Linked DNA regions of Astyanax mexicanus. The protein of the gene in region 3 purifies or fractionates together with the protein of the main gene of each other region. This does not show direct contact. Links are inferred from orthologs where the notes say so. Each region holds a gene or a part of one and is shown on either strand. Other genes may lie near its edges.

The links.
Region 1: the proteins of MRG/MORF4L-binding protein (region 3) and ing3 purify together in Homo sapiens (co-immunoprecipitation; 4 studies listed by BioGRID and IntAct, counting the BioPlex papers as one, with this or other methods). This does not show direct contact. The link is inferred for Astyanax mexicanus from reciprocal best matches to the Homo sapiens genes MRGBP and ING3.
Region 2: the proteins of MRG/MORF4L-binding protein (region 3) and vps72b purify together in Homo sapiens (co-immunoprecipitation; 5 studies listed by BioGRID and IntAct, counting the BioPlex papers as one, with this or other methods). This does not show direct contact. The link is inferred for Astyanax mexicanus from reciprocal best matches to the Homo sapiens genes MRGBP and VPS72.
Region 4: the proteins of MRG/MORF4L-binding protein (region 3) and epc2 purify together in Homo sapiens (co-immunoprecipitation; 4 studies listed by BioGRID and IntAct, counting the BioPlex papers as one, with this or other methods). This does not show direct contact. The link is inferred for Astyanax mexicanus from reciprocal best matches to the Homo sapiens genes MRGBP and EPC2.

Annotation. Positions count from the first base shown.
Region 1 is NC_064409.1:8,057,582-8,064,510, forward strand, and holds the start of ing3 (inhibitor of growth protein 3), read left to right. Parts: upstream 1-3,903; 5' UTR 3,904-3,995; coding exon 3,996-4,023; intron 4,024-4,165; coding exon 4,166-4,237; intron 4,238-5,629; coding exon 5,630-5,730; intron 5,731-6,010; coding exon 6,011-6,076; intron 6,077-6,282; coding exon 6,283-6,379; intron 6,380-6,539; coding exon 6,540-6,611; intron 6,612-6,929. UniProt on the Homo sapiens protein: Component of the NuA4 histone acetyltransferase (HAT) complex which is involved in transcriptional activation of select genes principally by acetylation of nucleosomal histones H4 and H2A.
Region 2 is NC_064413.1:39,939,726-39,946,882, forward strand, and holds the start of vps72b (vacuolar protein sorting-associated protein 72 homolog), read right to left. Parts: upstream 3,006-7,157; 5' UTR 1-3,005. UniProt on the Homo sapiens protein: Deposition-and-exchange histone chaperone specific for H2AZ1, specifically chaperones H2AZ1 and deposits it into nucleosomes.
Region 3 is NC_064420.1:29,040,612-29,048,197, reverse strand, and holds the start of MRG/MORF4L-binding protein, read right to left. Parts: upstream 3,015-7,586; 5' UTR 2,910-3,014; coding exon 2,774-2,909; intron 906-2,773; coding exon 784-905; intron 705-783; coding exon 623-704; intron 523-622; coding exon 443-522; intron 217-442; coding exon 180-216; intron 1-179. Other genes in the region: sac3d1 (SAC3 domain-containing protein 1), read right to left, coding at 5,768-6,231, 7,297-7,573.
Region 4 is NC_064418.1:14,791,140-14,798,012, forward strand, and holds the start of epc2 (enhancer of polycomb homolog 2), read left to right. Parts: upstream 1-3,855; 5' UTR 3,856-4,128; coding exon 4,129-4,281; intron 4,282-6,873. UniProt on the Homo sapiens protein: May play a role in transcription or DNA repair.

The DNA.
Region 1 (6,929 bases), on a different chromosome or scaffold from region 3:
GTGAGTGAAAGAAAGAGTGATTAGGTGAGCAAGAAATAGAGAGGGAGAGAGAGAACAACTAGAAACATGAGTTAAAGGAGTAAATGAGAAAAAGTGAGATAAAGTTAGAATGAGAAAGAGAGAGAACAACTGGAAGACTGAGTGAGAGAATAGTTGAGTTAACGAACAAGGAATACAGACTCAGAGAGTGAGAGAGCAAGAGAAAAAGAGAGAGAACAGCTGGTAAAATGAGTGAGACAGTTAGAGTGGATGAGTGAGCATTGAGAAACAGAATGAGAGAGAGACAGAACAACTGTGAGAGTTGAGCAAGAAATAAAAAAATAGAAAGTAAGAGAGACAGCATCTACTAACAGGAGACAGGAGGGTGAGAGAACATTATACTTGGTGAGAGGATGAGTCGGTAGTGAGAGAAGTGAAAAAAGAGTGCTTGAGAAAGAGAGGAGTAAGCAAGATAGCGTGAAAATTGAAAGAGCAGAAAAATAGAGTAAAGAAATGAGAGTGTGAAAATATAGTGAGTAAAAAAGCAAAAGAATGAGTGAGTGAGCGAGAGATAATGTGAGTGGGTAAGTGACAGTGAGTAAGTGAGTGAGAAACAGAGGAGGAAGTGTAATAGAGGAATGCAGAGGGTCAGGAGGTCAAATATGTGTATTACTGTCTGCAGGGATGAGCTGAATGTGCCCCTGGGGTGAGGGAGTGAAACAGTCACTGCTGGCCTTCTTTACTAATCTAAATGTGGCATTTCCATATAAATAATCTTGTTTCTACACCCATTATCCTGCTATGGGTGTAGAAACAATGTATGCTATTTTTTCTCAGCTTTACTGAGCATAAAGAAACACACTGTAGTTCTACAATTACAGTATTTAATCATTCTATTTCTCTGCATACTTTATTATCCTCCTTTCACCCTGTTATTCAATGCTCAGGACCCCAGAGGATCACCACATAGCAGATATGGAGTTTTTGTATATATAAAGCTCTGGAAAAAAAGGCCACTTCAAAATTATGAATTTCTTTGATTTTACCAAATTAAAAACCTCTGGAATATAATCAAGAGGATCAAGAGATGGATGATCACAACCATCCAACCAAGCTGAACTGCTTAAATTCTTGCTCCAGGAGTGGCATTAAGTTATTCAAAAGCATCATGTAAGACTGGTGGTGGAGAACATGATAAAACTGTGATTAAAAACCAGGATCATTCCACCAAATATTGATTTCTTAACTCTTAAAACTTTATGAATATGAAAGATTGTTTTCTTTGCATTATATGAGGTCTGAAAGCTCTTTTTTGATATTTCAGCCATTTCTCATTTTCTGCAAATAAATGCTCTAAATGACCATTTTTGGGGGGAAAGTTGGGAGAAATGTTGTCCGTGGTTTATAGAATAATATAATAAAGTAAAGTCTTTATTTTATTAGATTAAATTCTATATTTGTTGTGTAATTATTATCTTACCATCTTCCTATATCCATTATTATACCTTAAATCTTGGTACACCACTACACTGCAGATTGGGCTTTAGTTGCTGGTGATTCTGCTGCACAAACAGTCCAGCTATAAATACACACAGAACCTCATCAGAGAATCCATGTTCTTTCTCATGAGCCATCAGGGAGTATTTCACACAGCCCAAAGTCACGACGGTCCAGTGAGAGACAGGGGTAGTGCTGGTGCGCTTGTGGCTTAAATATCTAACATTTTTCTAGCATTTCAGATTTCCTCAGAGGTCTGCTTATGACATCTCTAAGTATGTACTGATTTATATATATTATATATATATATATATATATATATATATATATATATATATATATATATATATATATATATATATATATATATATATATACTATCTCACAGAAATATGAATATCTTTGAAAAGGTACTTTATTTTAGTAATTCAGTTTTAAAATGTGAAACTCATATATTATACAGATGTATTACACACAGAGCAATCTATTTTAAGCATTTTTTTCTGTTATTGTTGATGGTTTATTGTCATGGCTTGCAGCCAATGAAAAAACAAAAATCTGTGTCTCAGAAAATTTGAATATTGAATAAGACTAATTAGTCTTCGTCTTAGTCATCTGCTGGTGTTGGTCCACTGTGCTTCCCTCTGCTGACAACTTTTATTAAGATGCTGATTTCATTTTCCAGTAGGACATGGCACAGTGCCCACACTGCTAAAAGTACCAAATGGTCTTTAAGATTTTATAATTTTCATCAACGATAAAAAATATGTGTAAAAATGATAATCTCATGCTCCCTGAACCACTCTTTCACAATTCCAGCTCCATGAATCCTGGCATTTTCGTCTTGGAATATTCACGTGCCATCAGCTAAGAAAATATCCATTGATGGAATAACCTGGTCTATATTCAGTATATTCAGGTAGTCAGCTGATCTCATTCTTTCAGCACATACTGTTGCTGAACCTAAACCTGACAAACGGCAGCAACCTTAGATCATTTGCTTAGTTAAATCCAGCTGGGGACCTTTTTTTGGCCAGGCAGTGTACCTTTCCTAAGGTTGATGATTGGGGGTGAATTTGGGATGTGGGGGTCACAACATATTTTGAACCTAAAAAGGGGTCGCACAGTAAAAAAGGTTAACACTCTGCTTTATATCATAATTTATTCTGGTCTGGTGCTACAAATACATTTATTTAAGTTACAAATGAAAGCAATTTGAGGCAAGTTGTATATATTGAATTACCAACTGTAAACCAATGTGCCTGTAAATGAAAAGTCATTCACTGCTGCCCTCTTCAGGCTGATCGTGGAAACTAACCCCTCCTTTCCATACCTGAACTCTTTCTTTACTCGGCCTTGAGATTTCTAAGGAGAGTCTGTTTAGCCTTTGTGTTATTCCCTCATATTGATCCACGACAGCGGTTTGACAGTATAAAATGTATTATTATTCTGAATAGAAGAAATACGTATTATGCTCCATACTGCAACAGTGAATACTGAAAACTAAATATGAAAAATCTGTATCATGTTCTATACTGAACCTTTTTTTACTCTGTAATACATTGAGGGTAACCCTCATTTTCAATGCAGCTGAGCATTTACGACCTAAAGTGACTGAAAAAAATACATTTAAATTACAATTAAAATCAGGTAAATCCGAAGAGCTTAAACAAGGACCTTCATAAACAAAACAATCAAAATTAAAAGGTAAAAACATTCAAAAAACAGCAAATAATAAAATATTTAGTTAAGAAGAAATAAAATAATTCAGATTAAAAGGATAAGTGGACAGGCTAAAATGTAAAGCAATAAAATAAAGAGATAAATCATTTAAATAATAAAATATTTAAAAAAAATAATATTAAATAAAACGATAAAATAAATGAAATAAAAAGCTACAAGGCCAAAAGTTAAATCCCAGCTTGCCACCAACGTCCATAGACGTTAATTTTAGGGTAAAAGTTGGTCATGAGGTCAGATTCAGAGGTCAGAAATATTACGTCAGGATAACGTCTAATACCGTTATGTGCCTGCAGGGAGGAAATCAATAAATAAAAGGACGAAATGGATAAAATAAATAAAATGGCAAAAAGCTAAAACAGAAAATGTAACACAAAAAACACAAAATAAATAAAGCAATAAATAAAACCAAAGAGTCAAGAATCGTTCACTTCACAGTTTGTGTTGTTCATCCACTAATCCTAAATTATAGCCCACATAAAGCTTTACACGGGACATAAAGACATACAAGGTGGTCATAATGTTATGCTTGTTTTGTATACAGTCCATTAACACGCTGTGCGCGTTCCTTTAATAAAAACTACAAATACCATGAGCATTTTCAGTGAAGGCGGGTGCTGCGTAAGTAAGTCACCGACCAATCCCTGTGCACGTCTACGCCGCCAGGCCCCGCCCCTCCGAAATCGCCTTTTTTTTCTTCGGCGTTCAGCGAGGCGAGGCGCCATATTGAAGAGTTCTCCGTTTTCTGCAAAACCTCGAAAAATACCCCGTTAGCCACCATGCTGTACCTGGAGGACTACCTGGAGAGTGAGTATAGGTGTTTCTGTGTTCGCTCGCTGTGGTGGCGGTGTGTTCGTGTGCTGGGGGAGGCCCGTGTCGCGGGGAAACGGCCGCGCGGTCGTTAGCCGCTAGGCTAGCTCCTAACTCCGCTTTTTCTTCTCTCCGGCAGTGATCGAGCAGCTACCCATGGATCTCCGCGACAGGTTTACGGAAATGCGAGAGATGGACCTGCAGGTTCAGAGTAAGGCACTGCATTCAGCGGTTCTCTCTCAGAGTCTGACCGCTGAGACTTCAGCCCTGCAACCACTGCACTTTACTGACCCATAAAAACACTGAAACACATTACAACTCTATTATTTCACTTTTTAAACGGGTTTTCTTCAATTTCTCAAATTATGTAGATTTTCATTTCTGCTCTTCACATGATTAATTGCAGGAGGAAATTTTGTTTTTTTTTTCATTCTCTTAACAAAATTATCAAGCTAAATTTGAAAATAGAAAATTGGGTTTAAAACTTAATTATTATTATTATTTCCATTCAGTATAGCGAAGACGAAATGGGATTCATCCAAATTATTATAATTCGTCCAAAATATAATAATTAATTATCTAGTTTTTCATTTAAGCTATTCACAGACAGAATTTCATGAAAAATGAAATTCTTTCGATTTTTAAATTTGTCAATTTTTGCATCTTGTAACACAAATCGGATGGTAAAATGCAAAAATGAAAAAAATTAGGGGAAAAAAATGAAATTTGGAAAAGTCGATGAAAAACTATATTTAAAAAAATAAATAATGAGTTTTACGTCAAATTTTCGATTTTTGCATTTAACCTAAAACGGTCATAAAAATTAAATAAATAAACATTACACTGACCATTATATCATCAGATTTTTGTTACAAGATGCAGAAATGGAAAAATTAAAAAATCAAGAGAAGATTAACTACATATTTTTTACAATTTCCCTGAAACTATTTGTGATAAATGTCAGAAACTGAAAAAAATGTATGAAATCCTTTATCAGCATTTTTCTGGTAATGGGATCAAGGGAAACATTTCAGATGATGTTTTACCACCACTTTTCTATTTCCCAATTTAGTCGTAACTTTATGTTCTAAAGTTTGACCAAAATTTGAATGTGTTTTATAATAAAGTAGTTAATTATAGATGCTGAGTGCATGGAGCAGAGAAGAAAGAACCATGAGAGCTCTAGTAACTGAAAAATTGTAAAACTTAAAAAAAAAACAAAAAAAAAACTTAAGATTCTGTGTGAAGTAATAATAATTTATGTAACATAAAAATAATGTAATATATCAACACAAAAACTATTATACATAAATATCTTCACAGAAGAAAATAAGCATCACATTAAATAGCGAAACAAATGACACTCAAACAAATAAATGTGTATAACACTGATATGACGTGTTTGTTATTCTCACATAAAAATATTGCCCTCTAAAAACAAAAGTTCTCAAATTTTAGGAAAACCACTGGAACACTCCTGTTTTATTTTTTATTTTTTATTTTTATCCAGTTGCAGGCTTGACACATAGCTGTCCACTGTTAGTACACATATCTCTTAGTTGGTCATCCACTTGCAAATAATGACCCTCTTCCTGCTTTTCAGATGCGATGGACCAGCTGGAACAGAGAGTTAATGAGTTCTTTGCCAACGCTAAAAAGAACAAACCAGAATGGAGGGAAGAGCAGATGGAGGTTATTAAGAAGGTACAGAACAAAAGATGCAATTCTCTGTGGAATCCGTGGTTGGAGCATCTGCTAAAAATAACTAATTGGTTAAAGTTGTTAAATTCTGAATCAGCCCTTAATCAGCCCTCTAAACACATCTAATTGTGATGTTTACTATTCACAGTTTTGTTTTTCCACACTTAATGAACTGTATTATTAAATTATTTTTGGCTGTTTTGCTTAGCCTGTAATAAAGTATTAATTTTGATTGCAGAAGCTGTAATTAATGCATATCTTCTCCTCTGTCTCTTTTATTCAGGATTACTATAAGGCTTTGGAAGATGCAGATGAAAAAGTTCAGCTAGCCAATCAAATCTATGATCTGGTGAGTATGGATGATTGTACCGCAGTACACTTTATGTCCACTTTATGTCCACTAGAGGCAGTCACTCATTGTGAATGTACTCTTATGTGTGGAATGAATTGGAAAGATGTTTTTGTATATGCTGTGAAAGCTTGTTATTCTGATGTCTGATGATAAACAATTCTTCATAGTTCAGTTAAGGATTGTATGATTTTGTGTGCGCTCAGGTGGATCGACACTTGAGGAAGTTGGATCAGGAGTTGGCCAAATTTAAAATGGAATTGGAGGCTGATAATGCAGGAATCACTGAGATCCTGGAGAGACGTAAGTGTAGTCTGTCTGCCAAGCTAGTTATCATATGTGAGGACATCAGCTGGGAAATGTGGATCTCTTAATTATGCAGTGCTATGTGCATAAGAATGCTTGTTTAATTTATTAGTTGTTTAAGCAGCCTTTCTTAACTTACCTTTCTTCTTTTCTGTAGGGTCGTTGGAAATGGACAGCCCTTCTCAACCTGTCAATAACCACCATGTCCACTCTCACACCACAGCAGAAAGTAAGACAGTCCTCTATCTGTGTTCACTGTATGACTGCACAGTTTATTAGCCGTGTCTAAACATGCTAAATAAAGAGTTCGTACGGTCGTGAAAACCTGGAAAAGTCAAGAAATTTGAAAATAGCAATTTCCAGACCTGGATAAGTTTTAGAAAAATAAAAACACCCAGAAAGTTTAGAAAAAGTCATGGAAGTTTGGTCTACAAATCTTTGTGTTTCAGTTTATCGATTGAGAGAATTTATTCTAAGTTAACAAATACGTCAGATCAGAGTTAATTCAGTAATTTAGCCCTAAACAATGGAGCTCTCAGGATCTGAC
Region 2 (7,157 bases), on a different chromosome or scaffold from region 3:
TTTTCATTCACACATTCACATTCAAGGAAAAAAAAAAGTATTCCATTTCCCTAAACTCACGAAAGAACACACTATCCTAAACAAAGTTTACACATCCTGTACGGCGCACAATGGCCGCCGGTATGAGTCCTGACTATTTTATTAGCTTTTTGTTATATTAGGCCTTTCTCAAATAGAGCTATGAGCCATGCGGTGCTCATCCAGGTTTGGTTACATTTGCAGTGTGCAGATGCAGAGCGAAAAACACCTAGAGGGTGCTGGGTTTGAAAGGGCAGAGCGGTGTGGCGTGCAGTTTCTGCGTATGTCATACCCAGAAAGATTGTTATCGGTCATACATGTTTGTTTATTTGTTTGCCTTTTTAAAGCTCATTTGCATGTGCAGCGATCAGTCATAGCATTAGCACCACCTGTTTAATGCTGAATAAGTCGCCCTTGTGCCAGCTTAACAGATCTGACCATTACAATGGCCTCTAAAAAAGTTCTGTTATCTTGGCAGCAGATCCTTTAAGTCAGCATGCCTGTATGTTATGAGGTGGGGTCTCAGTGAGCTATAGGTGTGCATGACCCTATCATCAGATTATTGCATGTCCTCTCTCAGACCACTTTTGATGGGTAAACTGACCACTGCATACCATTGATATTTTTGTAAGATTTGACCCAGTGGTTTAACTCTTTTTTCATTTTCTCGTTTTCTTAACCCTGGTCAATGAGGCTCACTGTATTGCAAATTTTAATGTTTTTTCTGCTTTAACATACACACACTCTAACTTAATAATGGGCTGTTCAGTGATTATTTGGATCTGGAAGCACTAAAAAACCAAAAAGTGCAGGGGAGTGAGTCACCATAAATAGTGTCAAGAAATACTGGTCTAGCCAACACAACGTGTCCCATGTCACAGTTGCTCAGATCTTTATGCTTACCCATTTTTCCTGTTTTAACGCATTTCCTTCATTGATTTGGTTGATGTATTCCACAGCTCAGTTCACATGACAAACATTATGCAGCTCAATGAGCAGTTAAATGAATGAACTCAGCTGAATAACAGCTGGAAATGTTCTCTGCTGTTTGTCAGAAAGGTGTAAACAAGGCCATCAACTCATATCAGTTCAACTCAATCAGTTCTTGGCTGTACCTCAAGGAAATTTAGGGCACTTTTAAATCTGCAGTAACCAAATGCTGCAGGAAGGGAGTGTAGAGGACTAGAATGAGACACCCCACACTAAAGCCTTGCAGACTTCACATGCACACAATAATGAAGAGCACAGAACTGCAAATGTTTCAACTGCTAAAGTTTCCCCAAACATGAATCTGTGCCTATTGCTTAATGTTCCTAGAACATTTTAAAGGTATATTAAGAGCAGGAAACCATAGGACTATATTCACTGACTCACTGTGAAACCTCTGGATAAGACATTGCTGCTGCTTTGTTGTTATGAGTATATTATTAACACTGCTTTGAAATGATCTGAAATCACAGTGAATGAATCAGGCTTATTGAAGTTTACTCTTTAACATTTGTTGTAGTGTGGAGTTTGATCTATCTTCCCACGCAGCAGCTTGTATAACTAAGGTGTGTCAGACTCGTGCACACAAGAATGAAGAAGAAGTCTCGACTCGTTTTCATTTATGTAAAGATATGCAGGGAGTGCTGTAGGTATGTGCCAGCAACGAACCAATTAAAATGCTCCAAAGACCAAAAGATCAGACTGAAACGAGTCTATAAGGAACTCCAGCTGTACATTCTATTTTTCTAGAACAATGTACTTAAATTATCTTGAATTAAACTTTTAGAAGCTCTGCCATTGTAGGGTTAAAATGTTCTATTTATCTTGTCCTTTGTGGAGAAAAGGCAGTTTCGGTTTTCCTGGTAGAAAGCCTGAGATTGTCTGTTCCCACAAAAACAGAGAGCTTTGTCCTCAAAGGGACGTATTTGGTTACTTATCACTTTGAAGTCTCCTCCCCACATTCCTCCCCACGCTCTCCCTCCCTCTCTCTGTCTCTTTTTCTTGCTCTTTCTCTGCAGAACATCTGCTAGAACCACGGAAACAAAGCCTTCCTCACATCAAAAAATTTACTGGAATCAAGGACAGAAATAAAACAGAAAAAAACTGTTGTTTTAAACATTAGAAAAGTTTACTCTGAGGCAGAGTTTTATGAATGAAGGCCTTTGTTTTGGTTTCATCCAGGGTGGTCTGTCTGAACCCTGGGCCTTGAGTGTCTCAACAGGCCCCCAGTTACATAGCTGTGAGATGGAGTGGGCGATGATCTCACTGGTCGGGTATGTGTTGTTGCTGCTGTTGCTGATGGTGAAGTACAGGGAGGCCTATTACACCCCCACCCGCATCTCCCCTCTCCCCTCTAATAACAGGACTGGAATCCAGACCACATGCTCTGAAGTGAGTGAGGAGGAAATAGAAAGAGCATGACTTGTACTGTTTCATCCCATCATGCATCAGATCAAAAGGTGGGCCTGTGACATATGTGGTATATATGGTTGTGTAACATTCAGCACTCATCTTCAATGTCACATTCACACCCGTAATAGGACATTAGGCACAGTTTTTTATTTAGCTAGAGTTGACCACACTATCAGGATATGATGATGTGGGAGGAGACTGTGGGAGGAGACTGTAAGAGGGACAGAGCAGGAGGCAGGAAGGCCAGACCCCTTCTGATAAGTGGAGCTAGGACTGAGAAAAATGACTAAGCTGAAGGGATGAGAGAGGCTGGTGGTTGGGATAACCTTTTTTTAGTTGATTTTTTTTCACGTCACTTCTTTTTTTATATTAAAATGTGTGGCATTAATAACAAAATATAGGTATGCACCAAATATTAGGCAACCGAAAATATCCAACTAAAAATGGCAAAAACAAGCACTTTTTATTTAAGTCAATTTATTATTATAAATAAAACTGCTTGGTTAATATTTTGCACATTGTTGGTTTGTCTTCTGAGACATTTACTTGTAATGATAATATAATAATAATAATAATAATAATAATAATAATAATAATAATAATAATAATAATAATAAAGAAAAAGAAGGACAATTAACAGTGTTAAATTGGCATGAAATAAATATAATAAAAATAAAATGTATACAAATAACACATAATTTTACTACTGGTGCACCATCTGGGAGACTGGGGTTCAATTCCCGGTCTGGGTGACTATTCTGTGCTACACCAAGAGGAGTCCTTGGACAATACCTCTAACACTGGGTTGTAGAAGGACTAACCTTGTAAGTCGCTCTATAATACAAATAAAAAAGTAATTTCTGATAAAACTCAGTCAAGTGATATAGTAATGAAACAATTATAATAAGGAATGCAAAGATTAACTATTATTAATGTATAAAAGTGAACTCTTCAATTTTCATCACTCACATTTATAATACATAAATGATGCAGAATATGCCACCTCTGAATGATCTACTTTGTCATTTACAATTACCCGTATTTCCTGCTTCCTTCCTTCCTGCCCAAAAACAGCATTAATCAAAACAAAGGAGACAGGTGTTTATTATTTATCATCTTTAATCTCCTGGACTGCTGAAATGAAGGGATGGGACACTGACGTCAGCCTGTGGTTTGACGTACCATAAAGTCTACTGGTGAAGGAGTGGAACATTCCTACTGATGCACAGTCATAGTGGCAGTGTGTTTTGTTGCTGCCAAAACACTGCTGTGAATGACTGCGTCATGAGTTTACATAAACATAATTGTGAAGAATTACTTTTGGTCCATTAGTCAAAAAATGTTTACATATAAAATATAATGACTGCTGCCTTTTTCAAGTGTATAAAATTGTAATAATAATTGACATGACAGTACTGATATGCAGTGCGTCATTCTGTCTCATTTAGGAAGGTTCTGCAACATGAAGATGATGAGATACAGGGTTTTTTCAAAAGATTTCTTCATAGTCTGTCTCAAGTTAGAGAACAGAATTGCTTCATGCTTCCCTCTGTGACACAAGTTGTACAGCATACATGGCATACCTAATGTATGTTATTTAAACACAAATTCACAACATCTCCACATTTAAAAGTATTTAGGATACTATGGTTTGCAAAGAAAGTTCAAAAACTGTTTTTTTTTTTGTTTAACACATTCTTTTCTTTTATCTTTTTAGGGCAGATTATCTGGTCGGTGAAGTCAAAAGGATGGCATCTCACGTAAGGGCTTCATGCCAAGGCACGCTGAGATTTAGGGCTAACATACTTTTCTTCTGTACATTGTGTCCCTGCCTAAATAACTCTGACTCATGAATGGCTGGCTGCAACCAGCTATTGTCTATCCAGCTGTAAAATGCTACATAGATTAGTCAAACAATCACTGGCCTTCCATGAACATCATCATTAGACAATGTAAAAATTGTAAAAAGACTGGACCAAATCCTGATCATACAGGATTACTTTCCCAGGCAGGGATTAAGCTTAGTCTTGTAATACACAGCATATTCTGTTTAGATCTAGACTAGGGGAAAGAGCCCCACAATGTTTAAACAAAGCAGAGCTTATCCTGAAGTCAGTGAAGTTTGATGCAAATATTTTCAAAGAATTCTATAAGAACAATATAAGCACAGCTAATGCTTTATGGACTGGTTTGAATATCAAAATTTGCTTTCTGTGAACAGATTAACATGTAGGCAAACATGAGGATTTTCTGATAGCCAAAGTTAAATAGATGTTACTAGAAAACTGTATGCTTACCAGTTTAGATCAGCCTATCCCTTACTTTATCTTTACAGTCAATGTCTGGACGTTTTAGCTGCCAGACATTTTTGCCATTTTTAAAGGTTTTTTTTAGAATGTAAGCTATTGTGTTGCAGTGTATTGTATTGAATGCAACTTGTCTAGCAGGAAATGTTTAGCTACACCCTTAAAACAAACAATACCAGGTTGTAGGCTCGATACCTGGATTTGTCTCACTGTTGAGCAAGGCTCTTAAGTGGCCACTGCTCCCTGGGCACCTCCCCATCGCTCCAGGCATATGTTCTCACAAAACATGTATGTGTCTTTGAAGTGTATTCACTAGTGAGTATGTATCTGTTCATTGCACACACTAGTTGCAGTAAATAATACATAAACATTTTATACTTTTACCTGACATCCAGTCTAAAAACAATATGTATAGTGTTTATGACTTGATATTTCATCATATAGTAGGCTACAAATGTTTTTACAGGAGCTGTTTACTTATTATTGTAACTGTTGTGCTATTTATTACATGGTCTTGCATGAATAGACATGCTATATTGTCTGACAAAAACGTTTGGTTTTTGCTCAGTAGATAAGGGTTCAGTACAATTGATTTTTCATCAGCAACTCTTTACCACAAACACCAATACTAGCTCTACCAATACAAACTCTTTTTATTGGCTGTGGAAACACAGTTCAGCTTGAGGAACATACACCTCTGTCAGAAGTCTGCCAAAACCTATTTGAGGACTAATAGTGCCTAAGTTAGAGTTGTTATGCATAGGTTCTCTAGGTTTAAAGGTAAAATTAATCTTTGAGTTTTCATTTTAGGATCTATCAGGGAGTTCAAGTCAAGTCAATAGTCTTTTGTTGCCGTTTCATCCGAGTCCAAGTACACAGTGCAATGAAATTACGTTCCTCTGGAACCATGGTGCAACATGGAACAAACAGTACAATATAGACAACAAAGTGCAAACTTGCAGCAAATTGTGTAACATAGAACTAGAGTTCTCAGCATGCTCAGTTGCATTCTTTCTGTTCCTTGGGTCGTTTAGGTTTTTTGTGATTATTTGTATTTATTTTTATTTTATTTGTGGTGGTTGCAATGGTGGAGCATTTTTCACCCTGCTGGTGTTAGTGTTAGGGGTGAATAAGGGTCTCTATCAGTGGGCTGCCATTTTTAAAAGAAATATTTCAATAAAGTTGCTGGGACTATGGAGCTATGGTTTAGCCTTGTTACTTTGACCCTTCCCACACTGATGCTACAATACATTGTGCAGGTCAAGAGCTGGTAAACCAGCTAGCATACCAGTATAGCAAATCTTACTCAGCCGTATAAACAGCCAAATATAAGCAAAGTTAACTCGTGTGAAACACTGTGTGTGTGTGTGTGTGTTTGAAAGGCAAACACTGAGCTTTGCTGCTGTAATCTGATGGAAATGTAAATCATTTTAGATATAAAGTTCATGGAAATCATTAAAGTAGTTAATGTGATAAACCCTGCTTGCAGATAACCTCTAACATTCCTCCTTCCCCTACACCCGACTGGCGCCACAGATTTGAATGAATAGGTATAGGAATTAATCTAACCCTTGGTTATTATGGAATGTATAATGATGTTTTTATATATAAAAAATAATTGTAGTAAAAAGTAGTCATTCTTCATCAGGACACTGCTTACAGGACGCTGCTGGCTGGATATTCCTAGTTAGCGGATTATTCTCAGTCCAGCAGTGACACTGAGGGGTTTAAAAGCTCCAGCAGCACTGCTGTGTCTGATCCACTCATACCATCACAATCCACACTACCAACACATCTCCACCTTGCTAGTATCACTGCAGTGCTGGGAATGACCCGCCACCCATATAATAATAGCTGGTCTGTGGTGGTTTATCCTCTGGGGTCTTGACCATTGAAGAACAGGAGTAAAACAGGATAATAGAGAAACGGAAGAACTACTGTTTGTGATTTATAGGACTACACAGTCCTCGTATGTGGTAAATCAAGCTAATGAAATAGACAAAGCATGTAGAAACATGGAGGTGGTGTTAATAAAGTTACTGTTAAGTTTGAATTGAAAACTTTATTTAATGATAATTCTCTATGTTTTATTTAAGGACATCTAGAAGTGTGTACATATACGCTTTTAATTATAAAATGAAACCACACTTCCTAGCAGACGTATACTACTGCCATTCTCTCCGGTTAAAAATAGTTGCAATGTGGTTCAGTGACACAATAATTCAGCATTAACATGTCACACAACGTGCAGTTTACTGTATACACTACATCATGAGGATGACTCTGTAAACAGTGGAGCTGTGAACACTATGGAAAAATACAGATAGCAAAGCAGTTAAACTGCCAAGCAGGTGCACACACACTCACACACTCTGATATACACACCTGCAGTTCTGCTTATTATATTGAGAGCATAGACAAACACAAGGCAAA
Region 3 (7,586 bases):
TACAACTACTACACTTAAGGAAAAGAGAGAAAAGGAGGAAGATAAAGAGGGACAGAGAAAGACGCACATGCTCAGAGGTCTCTGGAGGCAGCCTACAGAGGCCTCTGGTACTGAGATGGTCTGTATTGAGCTCAAGCTGGAGTTTTGGAACAGAGCGAAACGTTTTCTTCTGTCCATACCTTGCAAACTCCTGGCCAGCCATACTGGGACCCAGACCTTTGAAAATGAGACACAAATCACCAGGGTGAGCTGCACCGAGCTACGGCCAAATGGGAGAACGATCCAGAAAAGAAAAAAATAATAAATAAATAGAAAAGAAAAGAAAAAATGCAATGACGCAGATTTAAAACGATGTCTTGCGTCAGAAAGGTGAGAAAGTGTAAGAAAGAGAAGGCTAAGAAGAGAGGTAGAGGAGAGCAACAAAGAAGTAAAAGGAAAAAACAGGACCTTCTTCGTGGGTGGCAGAAAGGTCTCTCTCTTCTTTGAACTCGTCCTTCACATCATCCTCTGAACCTACTTTTCCTGTAGCAAGTAAGGAAAAATATACATTCAGATATGACAATTATGGCTAATGCTTAACAAATTACAATGTCAGTTAAAAATACATGTAAATGCAACTCACCTTCTTTGACATCCTGTATTATTTCCTCCGGCAGGACAAAGGTCTTTTCCGAGTTGGGAAAGGGTAGTATTTCAGACTCGTGCTGTCGGAACGAGGAGGAATTAGCTATGCTTTTTTTTTTACCACAGTTTATGATACATTAAGAGTCAAATATGCCTCACCAGTGCCTGCATGTCGTACATCGTCGACAGGTGGTCCCAGATGACTTTTGATGATACTTGCCTCCCAATGTTTTGGCTAAATTTATCACGGATGCAAATCATATGGAAGTGACGGTTAACCCCTGAAATAAAAAAAAATTATTAAACCCCAGTGCAAAAAAAACAAGTTAACACATTGGTTAACAGCAACCTGGTTAAAATAACTATAACAGACTTACAGTGGCATAGAATACCTTTCCAGACACTATTTACATTGTAAGGTATAATTAAAACACAACAAAAGATACATGGATAAATAAATATAATAATTCTTTAAATATTTAAATATATATAACAAGCTCTTGTGGCAGTACTTTTGTTCATCACTGGTTTCTAGCACAATTTTGACTAAGTTCAAGACTTTAGCATATGAAAGATGTAGAATACAGAACATTCTGCCACTTATTCATTGCGAGCAGTCCTTAGGACCAAAGAGTCCCAATATCCTCCTCTCTCTTTTTCTCATCATTTTATGTTTCCAGACCTAGGCTTAATCAATAATGTGAACTATATATGCAAGTAAATCGTTTGACCTGGAGGGGCTTACTGACCAAAAACAAAAATATGGGAAGAAAAGAAAAATAAATGTTTGAAGAGAAACTTTAATAATTAATGGGAGATTTAAAATGAGAGATTTATAAAATTATTAAATAAAACCAAAGGTTGCTTTGATAAGTTGATCTAACTTTACATTTTTACATTATTTGTAAAAAAAAAATAAGTAAACAGTAGCAATGGTTGGTGTATTGGACCTTAGTTTATCTGTTATTATTGTAGAGTTGCTTGTGTGGGGTGATCACTGTCGGAGGATGTCAATGACGGGTGTCCAGATTGAATTCTATTTAGTGATTTTATTTTTGGCATATACATATAAAGATTTGTAGAAAACTTTTTTCTACTGATTGAAAGCCAGGAGTATTTTTTTATATTCCATTTCATGAGGATAGTCTTCTTGGCTATTTTTAGAGCTATGAGTATAGCATCCAACTGACAGTTAAAGGCTACCAGCCGTCTTGTCTGTTTTGGCCAAAATGCATTATATAATATAAATGCAAATTTATAACAGACATGAATTTTTATTTAAAACGGAATTGTAACACCATTCTCCACCAAGCTGCACCAATAAAGAATCCAATCAGAGTCATCTGAGCATTTACTGTTTTATCTGTATGTTTCTCTGAGTTGATATGTACATTTTACACTTTTTGATTTGGAGAAAAACATGTTTAGTTAAATATTTGGTTGTAAACTTTAGTATTAGAGAACTGGTGCTGCTGCATCTGTTGTTAATGACATTGATATGTTCTTTTGTGCACCAAGCAGAATTTTAGCTAAAGTTTTAAATAGCGAAGTGGATTAAAATACGTTATTAAACACGTTTCTAAATAATTGATTTTTTTATGAATCTTGTGACAGAACTGTCTGGGCTGTGGGTATCAGCACGCTGGACAGATGCTGGTCTGGGTCTGTGGTTAAACAAAGCAGATGGTGATTAAACCAACACTGCATTAAAAACATAGTTTTGCAATTAACATTAACTTACTGATTATTTATAACTTTGCTGGCTTCTGTAAAACTATTTACAGTACAGTACAGCAGAGCACACTAGAGATTGTGTTAGTCTTAGTCAGTTAGCTAGGTTAGTTAGCTGGCGAGGCTAACAAGCTAACAGTAATTCAACTAAAAATACAGAACTCATGATGCTTTCCGACTAAACTAAATTAGTGAGCTTAAGTTAAGGTTATTAATTATCAATGTCTAACTTAGCAAGCGCAGTAATTTCACTCAACAATGCCTCTCTGTCTTTATAAAGCCAAACCGAGCACACCAAGTCCACAGACAAGCCGGCCGGTTGTCGGCTCCCGGCTCCCGGACCAAGCTGAACTCTACGCTGGGGATTCGAGGCCTACTGAAAGGAGCCACTTAAGGAAACACAAAAACTGCAGCTCACCGACGGGTTTATGTCCCAGCATGGCGTGAAACAGACACACTTCCACCTCCTGACTCCATACCACCGACTCTTCAGCGGCACACACTCCCGAATCCCCCTGCTTTTCGTCGGCGGGTACAGCCTCAGCTTCGCCCATCGTTTTTCTGAATGTATTTTACTGTAGTGAAGCCGCTGCAGTGCGAGTCCTCAGAATCCGCCTCCAGGAGGTCCCAAACAAACCCCGACAGTGGATCTGACAAATACACCAAACCGACGGTATATCGACGGTATATCGTTAGCAGCAGCCTCATTATACAGTTTATTATTTAGCATTTCTTTCTATTGGTGTCATTAAATCAGTCGTACTAGTTGTACACTCTAGTGGTGTCCATGCTTCCATCTGTTGACAACTTTTATGGAAATGTGGATTTCATTTTCCAGCAGGACTTGGCACACTGCCAAAAGTACCAGTTGGTCTTATATAATAATTTTCTAAAACAGACTTTTTTTTTGTTTTCATTGGCTGTAAGCCATAATCATCATCAATAAAATACAGAAACGCTTAACCCTTTCAGACCTGAATTATCTTCAGTTATGTTTTCTGTCTGTAATGCACAGAAAAGAAGACTCTAATAATCTACTATAAAATGTAGTCATATAGCAAATAAATCCAATTAACTAAAATATTTATTAGCTTATTTTTATTTCCATTGCATTGGAAGCCTGTTTAATATTTTATATTTCTTCTTGACTTTTTTTTCATAAAACACCATAAAAAACATGATTATAAAGTGTTCTAAATCACATTAAATGAGTAAAAAATAGCCAAACCAAAATACTCTGTGAAGCATTGAGGTGGCTCCTATCTGGGGTGCTGTTAACTTGTGGTTTCTGAAGCTGATATCTCTGATGAACCTTTGCAACAGCATGTTTTTTGGTCTTTCTTTTTTGGTGCAGTCCTGATGAGAGCCAGTTTCAGCATTAAACATTTTGATGATCTTTGCGACTGCATTTAAGGACACTTTCAAGGTTCTTGATTTTTTTTTATCTTGATTGACTGACCTCCATTTCTTGTAGTGTTTTATTTTTCTTTACTTAGTTCTTGACATAATATGCATCAGAACATTACTCAAATAGGGCTATTCACTGTATTATACTCTTCCTCTTTACAACACAACTGATACTCTTAAACACATTAAGATGGAAGGAAATAAAAGGACCCCTGTTAATTCCCTGTTACATGTTTAAAAGCAAAGGGCTAGGAGATGTTTTTCATATATACTAGTCGAGTCATTGTGCATCTGAAAATCAGTGAAAATGAGATCACCCTCAACTGAAAAATAACATTTATTTGATTATACCACAGTTTGGTTATTTGTTGATATCTAAAAAGTCTTACCACTTTTTTAAATACCACTTTATTCTGATTTTTGGCTCCAAATGCGCAAATGATCTTAAGTATGCTTTTGGTACACGATCAATATGTTTAGTTTTTCTACTTTTCCTTTACTAGGCATTGAAAGTTTGCACCTTATCCAGAAAGCATGAAGTTTTGCCAGGACTATGGATTGCATTCCCCTTCAACATTATATTATGCATTATTTCCTTTAAATTATGCCCAGTTGCATAAAACACAAAAGTGAAAATTCCCTTAAAACGGCCCTTAACGATAAGTGTTACCTGAGGTCTTAACGGAAATCATCATCACCAGGGGCCTCATGTACTAAGACTTGCGTGGACTTCCTACTAAAATGTTCCGTACGCTCAGATCTGAAAAGTTCCGTACGCACAAAAAAATCCGGATTTATCAAACCGTGCGTAGGCAGAATCCCACGTACTTTCTCTTAGTACATCACAATCAACTTGAAATCAAGCGCAAATGCACGAAAGCAGCACACTTGCCACGACTCCTCCCTCAATTACGCAGAGTATAATGTTATATTATTATTATTATTATTATTATTATTAATAATAATATTATTATTATTATTATTATTATTATTAATAATAATAATAATAATAATAATAATATTATATACGCATAGCGTATAATTACCCATGTTTTAAGTTTTATTATTCTAAGATAAATGCTTTCATTTAAATGCTTTAAATGAGTTGCCTACCAAAAAGACACACGTCACGCACTCAGCTTGTTTTCTTATGCTCTTGGAAATCTAAAACTGCTTATAAGCCAGTCATCATCATGGGCCAAAAAAACATAATGGTCACGGAAAATGCGCGCTCAATGTATTCGGCCGTTAGCAGTATTTTCCAGTAATGCCAACGCTGCATCTCCAACAACTCCAGCGCAAACCTGATCTAGGCTAAGTGGAAACACGTTAAACGATTATTTCTGTAAGACAATGAAACTGTCTGATTAATTTACTTTATTTTACCCAATAATGCTTACTTCAATGTGTGCATAAAGGATATCTTAATAGTTGTAATTTCAATGCATCGCCTCTAAGTGTCGCCAAATGACAAAAACACAATACATACGCACAAAAAAAAGGCGTACGCCCAAAACAAAACTTCCGTGGGGGAACGCACTTTCACACGTTCAAGTCAAATTTAGTACATCAGACCGTGAGCGTGAAATATGGCGTACGCAATGTTTTTGTGCGTACGCACCTTTAGTACATGAGGCCCCAGGTCCTTCCAAAATACTTTGCTATGCTGTACTGACACATGCAGACTTGAGTAGCAAGTGAGATTTTTTTTGCAGGGTAGTGTTAACTACCATGTAGTTCACAGACCATTCAATTAAAAACATTTTATTAGTATATACAATTTTACATGCAACTGATAAGGTCACTGAAATGCTCATAAAAAAAAGCTAAAGGCTTTAAGTGCCACCTGAAATGTGTTTCATAATTCAACATTGTGGGTTTTCAATTGTACAGACCCAGAAAAAAAACAGTGTTTTAAAAGCATGACAGGACACTTCCTGTATTAAAACAAAACTCCAATTTCTTAATAATAATTTTAGCAAACACCTTTAAACATGTCACGTTTTCAAGCAATGCCATGAATGATGCTGCCAACTGAAAGGCCTCGCTGCTTGTCTTCCACTAGTTTGTGCATATGAGCACACTGCAGACCTTCAGATGGGCTCTCTGTGAAGGAACCCTTAGAGAAGACAACCCAGTCCCCGTTGATTTGTATTCCATGAGCCTGGCAAAGTTGAACAGCCAGGGATTGCTCCAGGGAGAGAATGTCTGCTAGCTTCTGGATAGGGAAGCGACAGTTTTTGCTGCTGTGTCCGTGGTTGTAGAGTAGCAGCAGATCCCTCCTGCAGGACAGAAGATGCCGGTGGAGGGCGCAGGCCTGCAAGAAGTCTAGTTTCTGGGCTAGGCGGAGGAGACGGACAGGGTTGCGCTCCATGTATGCCCTACTGACCGCTAGAGCCAACTGAACTGGTGGAGAAGTTCGCACTTTGTGAGGTAGTGCAAGAGCATGCTGTGTAGCTTGTGGTGAACCTGGAAACCAAATAAACACAAAAGGACAATTTAGAAAATATCTAGCAGCAACATGAATCCACATTCTCGATTAAAAGAGCAGCAACTATAGAGCTGTAAATACAATTTAATTAAGTAACAACCTGGATTGAGATCTGTAGTTTCTGACTTCATTTGAAACTATAATGTACACCAGGATAAAAGTATTTATTTACAATTTTGCAGCTGTATAATATTTTGTATCAGCAGCAAGCTTATCCACAACTTCATCTGGTCAGTGACAGTCCTGAAGATTCCTTCAATGGATATTAAAGAGGAATTGTCAATCTGTTAAGTGTATTAATATGCTATTAGTATCTAATAAAATGCTCAGTGTTCATAAAAAAGCAAATTGATACAGAATTTTGCATCCCAATAAAAACAAATGAGGAAGACCATGATCCTCAAAATAGAGCAGAACATTTTTTTATGCACAGATTTTACAGAAATGAACACTAGAGGTCACTGGGGGTTCTGTATTCTGTATTCCGAATTTTGTGTGTTTAATGTTTTTGCCTGATTCTTTGTCCGTTAATCATGTTTCTGTAAAGCTGCTTTGTGCCAACACCAGTTGTAAAAAGCGCTATACAAATAAATTTGATTTGATTTGATTAATGATAAATCAGGCAAGGGTTTTACGTTCCGGTCTTTATCTGTTCTGTACATTATCTTTTTTAGGAATCTGCTCAATTGTAAACAATGTTGAACTCCAAACACCAGCTGTGACAGCCTGTTAATTGCAGCCGATGTTTGTAGTAGTGTTTGCTAGCTCTGCTGTGTTCAGATACTTACTTTACTTGGCTGAATGGTGGAAAAAGGGGAATCCAGTTAGTAAGAAACAAACTCAAAAACGGCTCAAACAACACAAAACTGTATTGTTCATAAATAGTAGGCCTAACTAACTCATTAGAAGCATTAATTTGTTTGTTTTACCCGGTGTAAATACAAACAAAAAAATAATAAATTATGCCCTGTTCTCCCCTACAAGGATGCTATGCTGTCATAAAAAGTCTGCTGTCATAACAAGAGCAAAATGCTTCTACTCACCAAGGTTGTAGAGCAAGCTGAGGGCCTGAAACTCGTCCTGGTGCTTGTGCTGTCCCTCAGCGTAGCACTCCAGCAGCCAGCTCAGACTCTCCTGCAGGTGTGTGTCGTTGATGTGCGGGTCGTAAAGCCGAAGTGGTTGCCCACACAGATGGTAAGAAGCATACAGAAGGAAGCGCACTGTTCGCTCCAACACACTTGCACAATCCGGACCAGAAATGCGCTGGATGACCATGTCCTGACGAACACTGCGCAAGCGGTCAAACACAAAGCTGTAGACCTGTAGGATAGTC
Region 4 (6,873 bases), on a different chromosome or scaffold from region 3:
CTGTAAAGAAATAAAAGGTTTGATAGACATGAAATGTTTGATCTGTATTCACTAAAATGTTGATTTTAAAATAAAGTAATGACAAGGAAATCTATTTTTTATTTTTACATTTTCTATATTGTCCAAACCTTTGCTAGTTTTATTTTTAATGTCAGAGTGGGGTTTTGCCAGTAGAATTATTCTTTTAATGTTTAAATAAGGCATACCTTAAACATATAAAAATGTGTAGATTAGTTATTTTCATAGGGGTATTAAAAGGTGTTTTGTCAGGCATATCTTATTTTTCTGCATTATACTTAATAAAATATAGTGAAAATAGTGCTTAAAGTTATACATGTTGTTGGTGTGTTATTGAGAGAGAAATGTTAGTGCTGTAAATACAGAATAAAAGTATTTTTGCTGTTATGGTATCTCCATGTTGGCAGTAGCTTTTGTAACAGCACCAATAGCAGAACAATGTTTGCTCAGGTAACCAGCAAAAGCTATTATGGCCAGAAAAAGGTCAAATACACTGTTTTTACAATTTATGTGTGTGCCTTTTTAGGAATGGTAGCAAGGGGCACATTAAGGCCATTTACTATAAAATGTTGCCCTCTCTTACAGACTGCAGGTATATATATATATATATATATATATATATATATATATATATATATATATATATATATATATATATATATATATATATATATATATATTATGGCAAGCTATGGCAAGCCAAACAGGAAATATATAATAAAAGCTGATATATATATATAATGAAAGCCGATATATATATAATGAAAGCGATATATATATAATGAAAGCGATATATATATAATGAAAGCGATATATATATAATGAAAGTGATATATATATAATGAAAGTGATATATATATATATATATATATATATATATATATATATATATATATATATATATATATATATATATATATATATATATATATATATATATATATAATGAACTCTGATATATATCTGATATATATATAATAAAAGCTGATATGCCTGAGAGACTGAAGGTGGCGTTGTTGTTTCAGCCGGCCGCAGCTCCTCGCGCAGGGGAGGCCGACCACCGGCAGGCAGCGCGGCGCATTCTCTCCACAGAGGAGCGGCGCGACCGGCCTCGGACTGGCTTTAAAGTGTCAGGGGGCGAAGGTGGCAAAAAAGCTCCGGCCCGCGAGCTGCTTTCACCGAGCCGGGGACGGTCTACCAGTGTTCATTATATACATATCAGCTTTCATTATATATATATCAGCTTTCATTATATATATATATATATATATATATATATATATATATATATATCAGCTTTCATTATATATATATCAGCCTTTATTATATATATATATCAGAGTTCATTATATATATATATCGCTTTCATTATATATATATCACTTTCTATATATATATATCAGAGTTCATTATATATATATATATATATCAGAGTTTATTATATATATATATATCAGAGTTTATTATATATATCAGCGTTCATTATATATATATATATATATATATATATATATCAGAGTTTATTATATATATATATATATATATATATATATATATATATATATATATATATATATATATATCAGAGTTCAATATATATATATATCAGCTTTCATTATATATATATATATATCAGAGTTCATTATATATATATATATATATATATATATATATATATATATATATATATATATATATATATATATATATATATATCAGTGTTATCCTTACTTCCTTTTCCTGATGATTTAATTTCCTGTTCCTATTTTTCCCCCCAAGCTAGCTGCTGTTGTTAAAAAAACTTATGGAGTTAATATGGAAATATTTAAAATGAGATTTAACTAATTAAAAAATAATTAATAATTAGTTTCTCAAATCCCTATATTTTCCCTATATATATATACGGAAAAAATAATTAATAATTAGTTTCCCAAATCCCTATATTTCCCTATATATGTATACGGAAAAAATAATTAATAATTAGTTTCCCAAATCCCTATATTTCCATATATGTATATATATGGAAATATAGGGATTTGGGAAACTAATTATTAATTATTTTTTAATTAATTAAATCTCATTTTAAATATTTATTTAACATTTTAAGCAATTATTTCTTTATTCATTTATTTATATGATATTGTTACAAATAACACTCCATAAGTTTTTTAACAACAGCAGCTAGCTTGGGGGAAAAACAGGAACAGGAAATTAAATAATCAGGAAAAGGAAGTAAGGATAACACTGATATATATATAATGAACTCTGATATATATATATGATGAAAGCTAATATATATATAATGAACGCTGATATATATATATAATAAACTCTGATATATATATATATATATATATATATATATATATATATATATATATATATATATATATATATATATATAATGAAAGTAATATATATAATGAAAGTGATATATATATATATATATATATATATATATATATATATATATATATATATATAATGAAAGCTGATATATATATATAATGAACACTGGTAGACCGTCCCCGGCTCGGTGAAAGCAGCTCGCGGGCCGGAGCTTTTTTGCCACCTTCGCCCCCTGACACTTTAAAGCCAGTCCGAGGCCGGTCGCGCCGCTCCTCTGTGGAGAGAATGCGCCGCGATGCCTGCCGGTGGTCGGATTCCCCTGCGCGAGGAGCTGCGGCCGGCTGAAACAACAACGCCACCTTCAGTCTCTCAGGCTGACTGTGCGGACCACCCGTTTACCTCTTAAAGGGTTTTAACAGCTTTCATTATATATATATATATATATATATATATATATATATATATATATATATATATATATATATATATATATATATATATATATATATCAGCTTTTATTATATATATATATATATATATATATATATATATATATATATATATATATATATATCGCTTTTATTATTTATATATCAGCTTTCATTATATATATATATATATATATATATATATATATATATATATATATATATATATATCAGAGTTCATTATATATATATCGGCTTTTATTATATATATATATCGCTTTCATTATATATATATCGGCCTTCTATATATATATATCGGCTTTCATTACATACATATCACTTTCATTATATATATATCGACTTTCATTATATATATATCAGCTTTTATTATATATTTCCTGTTTGGCTTGCCATAAAATATATATATATATATATATATATATATATATATATATATATATATATATATATATATATATATATATATATATATAATCTTCTCATTTAATATTTTTCTTTATTTATTTACAATTAAGGGACAAATTAATTACATAGAAAAGGAGGAGTCAACAAAGATGTTCTTTAAACTTGTTTGACTTTACTTTTTAATTTGGGAGAAATGTTAGTAGTTCACAGGATAAAACATGTTCATTTAAAATTTTACTTAAATATATACCTATAAAAATGAGAAACTGATCATTTTGAAGTGGTCTTTACATGTTTTTTTTTTTTGTTTATTAGCCTAAAGTTAGGTCATGATTTGTGTGTGTTAATTATGGGAGATTATTGGTAAATTGTTAGGGTTGTAAATACTGAATAAATGTGTGTAATGTTCGCCTGTGGCCCTTAAATCCGCTGTAAAGCAGAAATGCAGTGTGTTTGTTGTGTTTTGGGGGCCTATAGCTAACTATAATCCTGCGTCTCGCGCAGGCCGCTTGCGTTTCGTAACGTTCTCGTGAGCGCGCGTCCTCGTGCTCGTGCCTGTGTGTGAGCGCGAGAAGCTGCGCGCGCACCCGCACCCGCCGCGTGCACGCGCTCTGCTGCTTGCTGCTCGCTCTCCGTGTCTCGCGCTGCCTGCCGGGATTGCGTTCATGTCCGCCATGTTCTCTGTGGCTCCGAGAGCGGAGCGCCCGAGTAGGAGTAGCGCGGCGCCGCGCAGCCACTAAACCCCGCTGCAGGAATGGCCCCGGCCGCCGGCCTTCGAACGCGAGGGAGTCAATGATCGGCACGGCGACGGCAGAAGGAGTCGGCGGAGCGAGAATCCGGCGGGCGCGGCCCGTTTCCCCCCCCGCGTTTCCTCGGCGTCGTGTTGTTTGCGTGAAATCACACCGTCATGAGTAAACTCTCGTTCCGAGCGCGGGCGCTAGACGCCGCCAAACCGCTTCCAATTTACCGCAATGGAGACATCCCGGACCTCAACGACTGCGTGTCCATCAACCGCGCGGTCCCGCAGATGCCGACGGGCATGGAGAAGGAGGAGGAATCGGTAGGTTATCGCTTTAAATCGCCTTTATTCCACTTCATACACGGGTATATTCGGGTGTGTGGCGATACATGGCTCTTAGTGGTATTCACAAACGGTCATTACGCTAACTGCGTAAGCGACGGTTAACATGAGCTATCTAGGCAGTTAGCTATATACTACGCTGTATGCGTAGTGTAGAGAGAAGATGGCGAGGGCGGCGTTGTGTGTGGTGTTTTTTTTTGTGTGATGTTGCTGGTGGTTTACGCAAACGAGCTCTGCGCAAACTGCGTACGCAGTCGTGCGTACGTAGTCCTGCGTACGTACATACGCCTGTGTTACGCCTTTGTATGCCTTTGTCTAGTGCTTTAGCGTGAGCCGAGTCGTGAATTGCGTAGCTAGCTGCGTCACGTCGTAGAGTGTCGGTCCGTTACCATCTGCGCGTTTTGAAAAGCGGAGCCTGTGTTGCGTCGAGTTGCGCTACCTGTCGATTTGTGCTTCCTATACATTTTGCGCATGCGCACACAATACCAGTTTTTAACAAATTTTAGCTACAGAACTTCATAGTAATTCCTCAATAGTTTTACTCGGCTAAGTTTCACAATTTCAGTTTGCTTGTACTCGTTTTTTAAGATATGTTTGTATTTTGTTTTACCTTAGTTGTCTATAACGTTAGCTAACCTAACCTAGCTAGCCACCCTGATAACCTAAGCTACAATGGTTTAGGCTGTATAACGTAAATATATAGTTTAGCTAGTAAAGCTATGAACGTTGCGCATTTTAATAGACTTCGTATTGCTTTATGCGCGCGCACACAGTAATGTGTTCCCAGAGTGGCTTACCTGATGTTTAAGTGCAAGTAAATTTGAATAATATCCGTTAAAGTAATAATATTACCACAAGGACAACAATAATAAGCATTATTTAAAAAAGTTTAGACACTTGTTAAACGTTTAGAAAATTTACAATGAAGAAAAATGTGAAATAGCAGCTAATATAACCTAGTGTTATTATTAGCAGTTAAAATGAAATAGAGCTTTACCTAGATGTATAAATAAGCAGGGAGGCAAGGAGCAGCGCTTTAGATGTTTGGGTGAAAGTAAACAGCCCTACTTTTGCTTGAATTATTCTCAGAATTATACTTGGCTGTTTTATTTAAGCAGCTTTAACTACTTAGGTAGTAACTACATTATACACCATGGTAGCACGTTTTGACAAGGTATCGCAAATCGACAAAGCACCGCTTCAAAGCCTGGCTAGGCTAGATTAAGCTAACGTGTACACAACAGTTAGCCTAGCTTAGCTAGCTAAGTTAAATCTGCAGTATTTTAGGTGATGATTGAACTGCGTGGTGCTCTGTCACCATTAAGCATTCATTATATTACACCTATTTAAGCATACAAACATGTATTTAGCTATTTTGGTTAGCGTTAGCTTGGATTGTTAGCTAGCTAGGTTGCTAACTATTGTAGCTTAGCTAGCTTAGCTAAAAAAGGAAAGACTCGGATCCTTATTAGCTAATGCTTACGAGAAAACCTACGCTATTTGGTTGTTTGCGTGTGTGTAAAAAGGTTGTAGGATCATTTTAATACAACACTGCTCTATAGCTTATTAAACTGATGGTGGTGCTAGCTAAGCTAAAGTAGATAGATGGCTAATATATATCTAGCCAGTTAGGTTAACTAGCTAGCTAGCAATTGAGATTATGGCGCGTTGGGAAATTCAAGCTTTATTTTAGCATGAATTCACTGTTTTTCACCTACATCTGTAGGTTAAATCTAACATCCTGCTCTTTCCTGTAATTATTTATTCGAATGGTTTATTATATAGGTTATATTGTTCTTTGGATATTAAAACCTTAATGAGACGTTTGTAAATGATTTATTCAGTGATTTATGAAGCTTGGTTTTGTGGTGTGACCTTTATTAACGTCTAAAAGTTTTATATTATGTGGAGATTACTAATAATAGCTGTATACTGGTGTGTCATGATAAGAATAGTTTGATATATCATTCCAGAAATTATTGTGAAACAATATTATCCTTTTTATACCGTTAAATGCCACTGACATTATGGTAATATTATAACATAATAAAGCAACTGTACCCTTTTTATAAAGACAACACAATTAGAAATTAATCATACTTTGGTACATATACTTTTTTCACCTACTGCAGACCACACTGTGTGTATGGGTAGAGTTTTTAAAGCACTGGTCATTTGCATGACTGGCTACAATACTGTTTACTGTTATTTATGTGAGCAAATAAACACAATAGACAGTATCATTACTGTCATTAGGTCATGTTCATTTATTGTATGACAGGGCAATAAAGTAATTGTTGTGACAGGCCTAAACTTAGGTCTGTGGTGTGACCTTTATTAATACAAAATTGTGTCTGTTACTTATCATGTTTGTTGCTATACTGGAAAATAAAGAGTCTTAGATAGTAGGGTGTTCGATATCGTATTGTGCGTCACAATAATATTGCCAAAAATTCTACACAATAAAGAAATTGCATTATTTTTTATATTTGGTATGTACTGTATTTGGCTCATATTACTTATTGGCTAATATTTGGTGATATGGCCAAAATTTATATTACAATATAGGTA